Linked DNA regions of Danio rerio. The protein of the gene in region 1 interacts with the protein of each later gene in a pairwise test. Links are inferred from orthologs where the notes say so. Each region holds a gene or a part of one and is shown on either strand. Other genes may lie near its edges.

The links. The genes of interacting proteins can lie anywhere in the genome.
Region 2: the proteins of mtfr1l (region 1) and armc1 interact in binary tests that used the Homo sapiens proteins (3 or more experiments, as listed by UniProt). The two-hybrid records come from large-scale screens. The link is inferred for Danio rerio from reciprocal best matches to the Homo sapiens genes MTFR1L and ARMC1.

What each region holds. Positions count from the first base shown.
Region 1 is NC_133192.1:26,101,725-26,106,727, reverse strand, and holds the start of mtfr1l (mitochondrial fission regulator 1-like), read right to left. Parts: upstream 3,295-5,003; 5' UTR 3,159-3,294; intron 2,597-3,158; 5' UTR 2,496-2,596; coding exon 2,481-2,495; intron 2,386-2,480; coding exon 2,278-2,385; intron 646-2,277; coding exon 536-645; intron 193-535; coding exon 1-192. UniProt on the Homo sapiens protein: Mitochondrial protein required for adaptation of miochondrial dynamics to metabolic changes. Regulates mitochondrial morphology at steady state and mediates AMPK-dependent stress-induced mitochondrial fragmentation via the control of OPA1 levels.
Region 2 is NC_133199.1:28,661,447-28,665,131, forward strand, and holds part of armc1 (armadillo repeat-containing protein 1), read right to left. Parts: intron 1,729-3,685; coding exon 1,539-1,728; intron 1,451-1,538; coding exon 1,334-1,450; intron 1,026-1,333; coding exon 951-1,025; intron 1-950.

The DNA of each region.
Region 1 (5,003 bases):
TTGGCAATCTGCGCTCGGAGTCGACTCAGCTCATCCTGTAATGCTGTGGTGCGGTTCAGAGCAGTCACTCCTGGTTTCCTCAATCCCTCCACGCGTCGGCCTTCTCTTCTGAAGTTGGGTACAGATGAGTTTCTGTGCATCACCAGCAGTGGCGTAGGTCTCCACTCATGCCTCAGTGGACGAGTGTCACTCCTAAAAAATATACACAATTGCAGTCCGGAATTTTCTTTAAGAAACTTATATGTCACAATATCTCAGTAGTTAAATGGGCTTGCTTAAGATGTGCTAGCAGTGTGTTGTTGCCATGTTGACTATATGTCAGTGTTTCTCAACTCCGGACCTCGTGTACCTTATGTCTTCCTTAACATACCTGATTCAGATCATCAGCTTATTAACATATATTTCAATGAACTGATCCTTGTGTGTAAAATAAGAAAGACATACTAAACGTGCAGGGTTGGGGGCCCCCCCCAAGGACCGGAATTAAGAATCAATGCACTCAGTGAAGAAAAGTGCATCAGTCTGACAGACTTACCTGACTCTCGCATATGTCTCCTCTTCATCATCTGCAATCCAGGCAATGTCTGCTAGCGTGGGCACAAGCGGACCGTCAAGTGAACGCATTGAAGGAAGGCCTGGGAGTTCCTGGAAAACATAAGACCAAAAACATCTCTTTAAAGGTTCAAGACACCCTGGAGTACTTTTTTTTGACATTTTAACAGATTTGCGTGTCTTGAGCATCAGGTAAGACAACATTAGCACCTATCAGCTCTAATTGAGGGAAAAACTGGATAATTTTGAGCTTGTCAACTAATTTAGTCTTCCAGGTTTAAAATACTTTTGTGGCAGAATCAAAATCGGTGATGTAGCTCGAATCTGCTAGTGGAGTGATGACGCCTCGGTTTCTCATTATTATTCATAGCGAAGTTTTCTTATCCTATGAGAAGACCCTGCTTCTTAATTATTCATAAGAGCACAAGCTTTCCGAAGGCAAGACAGACCTGCCAAGCTGTGAGACAGCCATTGACTGGGTAAGACCGCGTCCATGCACGGGTCGCATGTGTTTGTTTCCATGATCCACAGGGTTTGTTGCATGTTTTTCTCCGCGATTCTGTCAGGGCCGATACAGCAAAACTGATTGTTTGCAGAAAGCAGTTTTGTCGGGAGAGCCGTACGAGAGTTAAAGAATGGCAGACTTTGTCTTTTATCAGTTGAGTTCGTTACCATTCAGACACATCACCTCTGTCAGTGCTGCTGTGTTCGCCAATGTTTAAAATCCTCTGCATTACCGGCAGGGTTAATTGTTGGAATAGAGAGGGAAAGAGACCTGCTGCACTGCTATCTACTGTGTCTGCATTCAGACCTGGGGATTTGGGGGGGGGATCATGACCATTTAAAGCAGGGATCACCAGACTTGTTCCTGGAGGTCCGGTGTCCTGCAGATTTTTGCTCCAACACTAATCAAACATACCTGAACATGGTAATCAAGGTCTTACTAGGTATACTTGAAACACCCAGGCAGGTGTGTTGAGGCAAGGTAAACACAGCAGGACACCGGACCTCCAGGAATGAGATTGGTGACCCCTGATTTAAAGCATCTCTATAAAGTAACATTTTTACCCTTATAAATTCTAAATAACTTTTTGAAAGATTTTACTATATATACAATTGTAATAAACAACATTTTTTTCAGTCTTGGTGGATAAAAAACAACTTTCTTTATCTTAAATATGGCTCTAATTCAATCAGTCAAAAGAGTAAACAAATAAAATCACACTGACTATTTGCAGTCATAGCTGACTGCCCCCAGGGAATAAAAGGAATATTAACTTCTTTTTTTTTTAAATATGTTAAATTAAATCTGTACATCATTAGCTAATTAAAAATATGTTAGTCACACAACTTACTGTATATGACAGTAAGTTTTCCTGCAAAAAAAATCTAATATACTTTGTTTTTTAAATATAAACCAAACCATCAATTAATAATATCTAAATAAGTTTCCGAATGTACGTTTTCCAGGCATAATATTTAAATTGTCATCTAATCTTTAAGATCTAAAAGACCTAAAATCCTTGGAAAAAATTGTTATAATTTCATCACCACATGTAAAAACAAATTTGTATAGCATTTAATATACAAACATTTACTGCATTGAAGATTTTTTTCAACAGTTCTTGTTTTCTCTGGGAATAAAACCTTGGAGTTTCTAGCAGTCCACTATTCTGAGTTCAAGAAACTTGTATAGACCACTTATTTTATTTTTCATTCCCATACCTGGAAACAAGCTCTGGGACATGGTTTAAGAGGCAGCGTAGAGCCGATTCGTCTCACCACGCTACGAGTTGATCCATGCGGTTTATTTTGCCAAATAGGGATAACCTCCTGAGGAGCAAATAAACAGAAAATAAGTACCAAAAAATACATAAACATTACCAAAACATAAATAAAACAGTTCTTTAAGCTGTTTATTTACTCACTGCTTCTGTTTCCATTTTGAAGTGTTGAAAGAAAGCACCGCTGCCTAGACTGTAGTGGGGTTTTGATTATATTACAGCACACTGAACATGTTTATCTGAGATGGGAGTTGCTTGGCCTAAAAAAATTAAATGAAAAACCTGAAATAGTCAATACTTCTTATGAAAACCACTGTCAATGCTTATCAATTATGCACAGTTTAAATGAGCACAGCAATTATGTTTTTGCAGTGGCTGCATATTAAGTGCCTCCCTTATGCTACGGATTGTGCAAATTTAGTCAACAAAATAAATAAAGTGATGAGGGCACAGTGTAATTACTGATGTTTTACAATACACAGCAGCTATTACATTAAATATACCCAAGTAAAATACAAGTCAAGTAAACAAAACATTAAATACTAAATAAAGAGGTAAGCAAAGAAATAAAATAAATAAGAGTGGAAAAATTAAAACAATTAATTAATTGAACAGGCGATTAGGGTTTTAAAAAAAAGCTATTTAACAGTGAACACTTAAAATTGAGAACACTTAAAAATACACTAAAATCTATAGCATAAACAAGGTAAACAAACCAAAAGCGTCCTGTGACCCTCATTTCTTCCTTTAGCATCTCAGCTAACAAACGACCTCATAAAGTGCACCTGCTTACTATGCATCGATATGAAATAGAAGACCTACCGTGTGTGGTAAGAGTAGATCAGAATATTTTTTGCACTGGTGCAGATTACTCTGCTTTACTGTGTGAGAAATGTCTGATCTTCCTTTATCCCTCTTCCGTTAGCCGTTTAGCCGATAGCCCAGCGCGCCCCCGGCTAATTTGCAAGAAGTGCATGAGTCGGAAGAACGTGTGTGGGAACATCGTTCTGCGATTGGCTCAAATTCCGCATATGTTACCTCACAGTCCAATAGAATTTGTCCTTGGCAGAAGCGTTTTAAATACAAAATAAAAGTAAATAACGTAAGTAAATGCACGGAAGATTAAATTATAGAGTTTTGAAATAAGCGAATGTTTATAACAGTAGATTAGAGATTTTTATGTTTACAAAAAAGTGAATTTGTTTTTATTTACACCTGTTATATGCACCCTCGGTGATCGAAAATAAAATAAAAGTCACCTTATTAAAAAATGAATATAGCTGCTTTGCTATAAAGCACTGATAGCTACAAATATGGATTCACTCATATAAAGATATATATTTTATCCAATGCATTCTATGTGGACATTTAGCTGATGTACTTGAGAATTTAGGAGATTTTGATCGCAGTGTTGTGCTCTTATCTCATGACTGGTGACAGATTCACTGCAGCGGCATCAAAACACATGACAGCCCATCATGCGGAGCGTCCCGATCAGCTGCTCATTTTCTGGCATCATTAAAGACCAAGGTAAGCTCGGTTGATATATTTGGTGGTTTTACAGCATTAATACCAAAGTTTAGAGCCAAGTTGAGAGAAACGCGCAAAAGAGCCCAGCACAATGAATGATCCATCTTAGACTGCTGAAGAATTTGAATCAGATGCAGACATTAATCATCAGTTTCTGTATTATTGAGAAAAGAGACAGTTGTTAGTGACATTAAGCATTATTAATGATGTTTATATGCGTTAGAGTTGCTGCTGGACACAGAAGTGCGACATTGTGATGCTGCTCGGCCTTCAGCACTGCATTAAAAATCCCCAACTTCAGCTGTGTTTTGGGCCCGATTGTTGCTTCGACGTCTCTTTTATGTTATATTGCTTTAATCAAGCACATCATTTCTGGACTTTGAAATTTAATGTTTGCATAAGCGAGTCAGTTTGCAAAAATCCGCTTATTTGGGTTTTGTTAGACCACATGCACTTCCAGAGTAGCCTATTAAATGTGTATGGGTATATATTTAGCGGGTTCTTACTTTTTTTTGCATGGCTTTAATTGTTTATAGAACAAACGTCTGCTTAAATGTTTCAAATCACATTTGTGAAAAGTAAATATGACAATATGGGTGAAATAAAATACCTAAATCGTTCAGCATAACATTTTTGTATATTGAATGAATAAAAGAATCATCCTAAATTTTAGGAAAGTGGGGAAAAAAAGATTTAAAATGGTTATCCATGTTTTAGGTTTGAACTGTGTCCTCCTTAAAGACGCAATGTGTAAGATTTATTTACATTAAAAGCACTGGAACAGTGCTATATATGTTGCTGACTTATATGCATAGTTGAAGTCAGAATTATCAAAGCCCCTGAATTATTACCCCCTGTTAATTTTCTCAAAACAAAAAAAAAAAAGCTCAAATGGGCTAATGATTTTGAAATTGCTTTTATTCTAGCCAAAATATAACAAACAAGACTTTCTCCAGAATAAAAAATATTATCAGGCATACTGTGAAATTTTCCTTGCTCTGTTAAACATAATTTGGAAAATATTTAAAAAAGAAAGAATATCAAAGGGGGGATAATAATTCTGACTTCAACTGAACATTACACCAAATAAGCAATTTCAACAGGTGACACAGGCTGTGTTCTGTCAACATGGTAATG
Region 2 (3,685 bases), on another chromosome or scaffold:
TTAACATTTTGTTCTTAATGAAAATAATTTTGTATTATTGTTGATTATCATTATTGTTATTTATTTATTAGGTTCTATTTTAAATAGTAGTAGTAATTATAATATTAATAATAATGAAGTTATTATTGTTGTTGATTTTCATTATAAAAATTATTATTATTAAGTTCTATATTAAATAGAAATAAGTAAGTTATTCATCGTGCACCAATTGTTTTTGTTTAAAACTTAATAAAATATTTAACATTTCATTAACATGTTTACAAAAATATTGTCCAATAAAAATACATTTCTATAATTATTATTGTTTTTAATAACAATAATACCTTTTCTGCTTTTATAGTAAAATACTTGTGTAATTTATTTAATTTAACATTTACTAAAATGTTTTAGAACAAAAAGGTGAACAGATAATAAAAACAATTACATTTTTTAAATTGTGATTAATCTTCCACTCATTTACAGAAAAAAAAAATATATAAAGTTTAGTGTGAAATGTCATCATTTCTAGTTCTTCCATTCAGCACGTTAATTCTTAGTCAATTGTGCCACCTGCTGGTCAATAATGAAAGTGTATGATGAAGAGGTTTCCAAAGGTGCTGTTCTGCAGCCACTACAGGTCACAACTGCACTGCTGCAGGTACAGATCGCCCTTCCAATTCAACTAGAGAGGACACATCTCTCCTCAATTACCAGACTCTGTGCATGTACGTGTGTGCAAGGCCCTTTGACTTTTTCAGAGGCAAGGTGACATCCTAAATGATCATGTGATGAGGGGAATAAGAGTAACTCTTAGCAGGGTTTAGCCATCAGACAGACAGAATCATATCCAACATCGTCAGCTACAGGAAGTGCAGTTTGAGTCAAATGGATAACTAATCTACACTGAACAGTGTATCTTTCTTGTGTGTGTGTGTGTTTGGTTATGGTCAGTGTTTGTTTGTTTGACTGACCTCTGCTCCATCTTCCCCTTTCACAACCTGCTGTGCCTTCATGACTTTGGTTGAAGCTATAGCAGTTCCCAAGGCCTAAAGAAAAGAAAATATAAAGAAAAAAACAAATGAGGAAAAGGAGTTTCTGATTTTAAAGCTTTAAAGCTAGCATGTTTAGAAATGTGTAGAAAAAAATATCTTTCCTTTAAACAGAAATTGGGGAAAAAATACTTAAAATTGAAATTTACCAAGAGGGCGAACACATTTTATGTTCATTCTTATATAAATCATTATTTGAAATGTAAAAATGGTTTAAATAAAATAAAATAGATGATTATAATGAAATCAATTTTTAATTCTCAGATGTGTTCTTCTAAATGGACAGTGTTCGATTGGGAACTGACCTCTGCCTTCAGGTCTGAGCGGATTCTGACCACGCATCTCTTCACGGCCATCTGAAAGGTAAAACTGATGACTCCTTTAATCTTCAGCAGAGCCTCCTCACAAAGACTCCTCCGAGACTGACAAAGAAAACCCAGAGATAGAAGTCACATTGAGCCAAAACCAAATCTCTTAACGCTCCATTACAAAGCAATTGTCTGTGCTTACCGAATCATCAAGCCCATCAATCTGAAGCACCACAGTTTTGGCCCGTTTGTTGGTTGCGCCCAGGAAGAACTGGGCTTTTCTTCTACAGGAGGCTCCGGCTTCTGCCTGTTCAGCCTCTGCACTGCTGGAGTTCTGCAGGATCTCGTAGATCTCAGAGGCCAGCAGCTTGGTTTCTCCTGGAGACGTGCCTCTGTACAAATACATCACAAACATTAGCCTTCATACACTTCAGTTGTGATGTATGGAAGAGTGTTTTCAGGTTCAAACCGCTACTTATTTGAATTGAGAAATAACTCCGTAGCCGTTTATGATCACTGTTAAGTGACACCACATATTTATTCAAACTGTCAGTATCGGTGAAATGGTTCAAATATTTCAACTTATTTTATAATGATTCTAAAAATGTTCTCAGATGCCAAACAAAGCATTTAAATGTTTACATTGATTATTTTTATTTTTTACATCTTAAAAATAAACATTACAAAATGTATGCAAGTTTGCAATCTTTCTCACGTTTGCAGATCCAGTATGAGAACGAGCCGCTATGTCAAGCCTGATGTTTATAGCCAGGATAAGTGCACATTCCCAGCATTTGTTAACAGACCACGGAATCAATCACAGAATCATTGATGCAAGTATAGAGAAAACCCGATGTGAGCCCATCGGGTAACTAGTAGAAAAACAACTCTCTCGCCCACCAATCTGGGAACTCCCCTGCTGAAAAATCTAGCTTAAACCAGCCTAGGCTGGTTGGCTGGTTTTAAAAGGGTTTTGGCCATTTCCAGGCTGGTTTCCAGCCATTGGTCTTAGCTGGTAAATGGCCAGCTAAATCCAGCTAAAACCAGCTTGACCACCCTGGTTTAAGCTGGACATAGCTGATTTTGACTGGGCTACCAGCCTGGCTAGGCTGGTCAAGCTGGTTTTAGCTGGTCATCTCCCAGCCTGACCAGCTAAGACCAGGCTGGAAATGGCTGGAAACCAGCCTGGAAATGTCCAAAACCCCTCTAAAACCAGCCTGGTCGACCAGCTAAAACCAGCCAACCAGCCTAGGCTGGTTTAAGCTGTTTTTTTCAGTAGGGTCCCATTACTTTCATTCAGAAAATTAACAGAAACATATGAAGCGAGTCATATTAACCAATTAAATCGTTAACTTTTTCTTAAATGTGACCAATTCATACTACTAATGAATTTATTGTGAAGATTATATCAAGCCCTTACTCAATAATGCAGATGTATTTTATCTAATTAGTTTATTTTATCGAGTTTGTTTAATCTTCATCTATATGATCGTTTATACATCGTTTTCATTTAAGATATTTTATTTCTGATTGAGTCTATTTGATCTATTATAATTTGTATAATTATAATTTGATTTGGTTTCATTATCAAAATAAATAAATAAAAACTTTATAAACATATGATTAGATATTTAATAACAAAAATATAAAATTGTTGGCATTTTCTAGTTTTTTTTTTGCAATATCTTGTTTGAATTTAAATGTATTATTTTTCTATACCTAAAGATGTCTGGTGAGCGAAGACTTATTTTAATGAATGGAACTGTTAAATAAAACCCTTTTGTTTAAAATGCACCAAAAAATATAGTCTATATACACTGTATGTGGAAATTATTCTTAACGCTTCACTTTTTCAACATTTTTTATGTTACAGCCTTATTTAAAAAATGATTAAATTAATTTATTTCCTCAAAATTCTACACACAATACCCCATAATGACAATGAGAAAAAAAAATACTTTTTGAAATTGTTGTAAATTTATCGAAAAAAAAAACAAACAAAAAAAACGGGAAAAATCACATGTATATCAGTATTCACAGCCTTTGCTGTGAAACTCTAAATTAAGCTCAGGTACATTCCGTTTCCACTGATAACCCGATGGTCACTCTGTCAGCTCCAGCATTCTTCTGTGGAAAGAAGTGGACGTTACAGAAGGACATCCATCTGTACGTAAATGACTTGTATGGTAGAGTGGCCAGACAGAAGGCACTTCCCACCTGGAATTTGCCAAAAGGCATCTGAAGGACTCAGACCATAAGAAACAAAATTCTCTGGTCTAATAAAACTAAAATTTAACTCTTTGGAGTGAATGCCTGGCGTTACATTTAGAGAAAACCAGGCACCCCTTA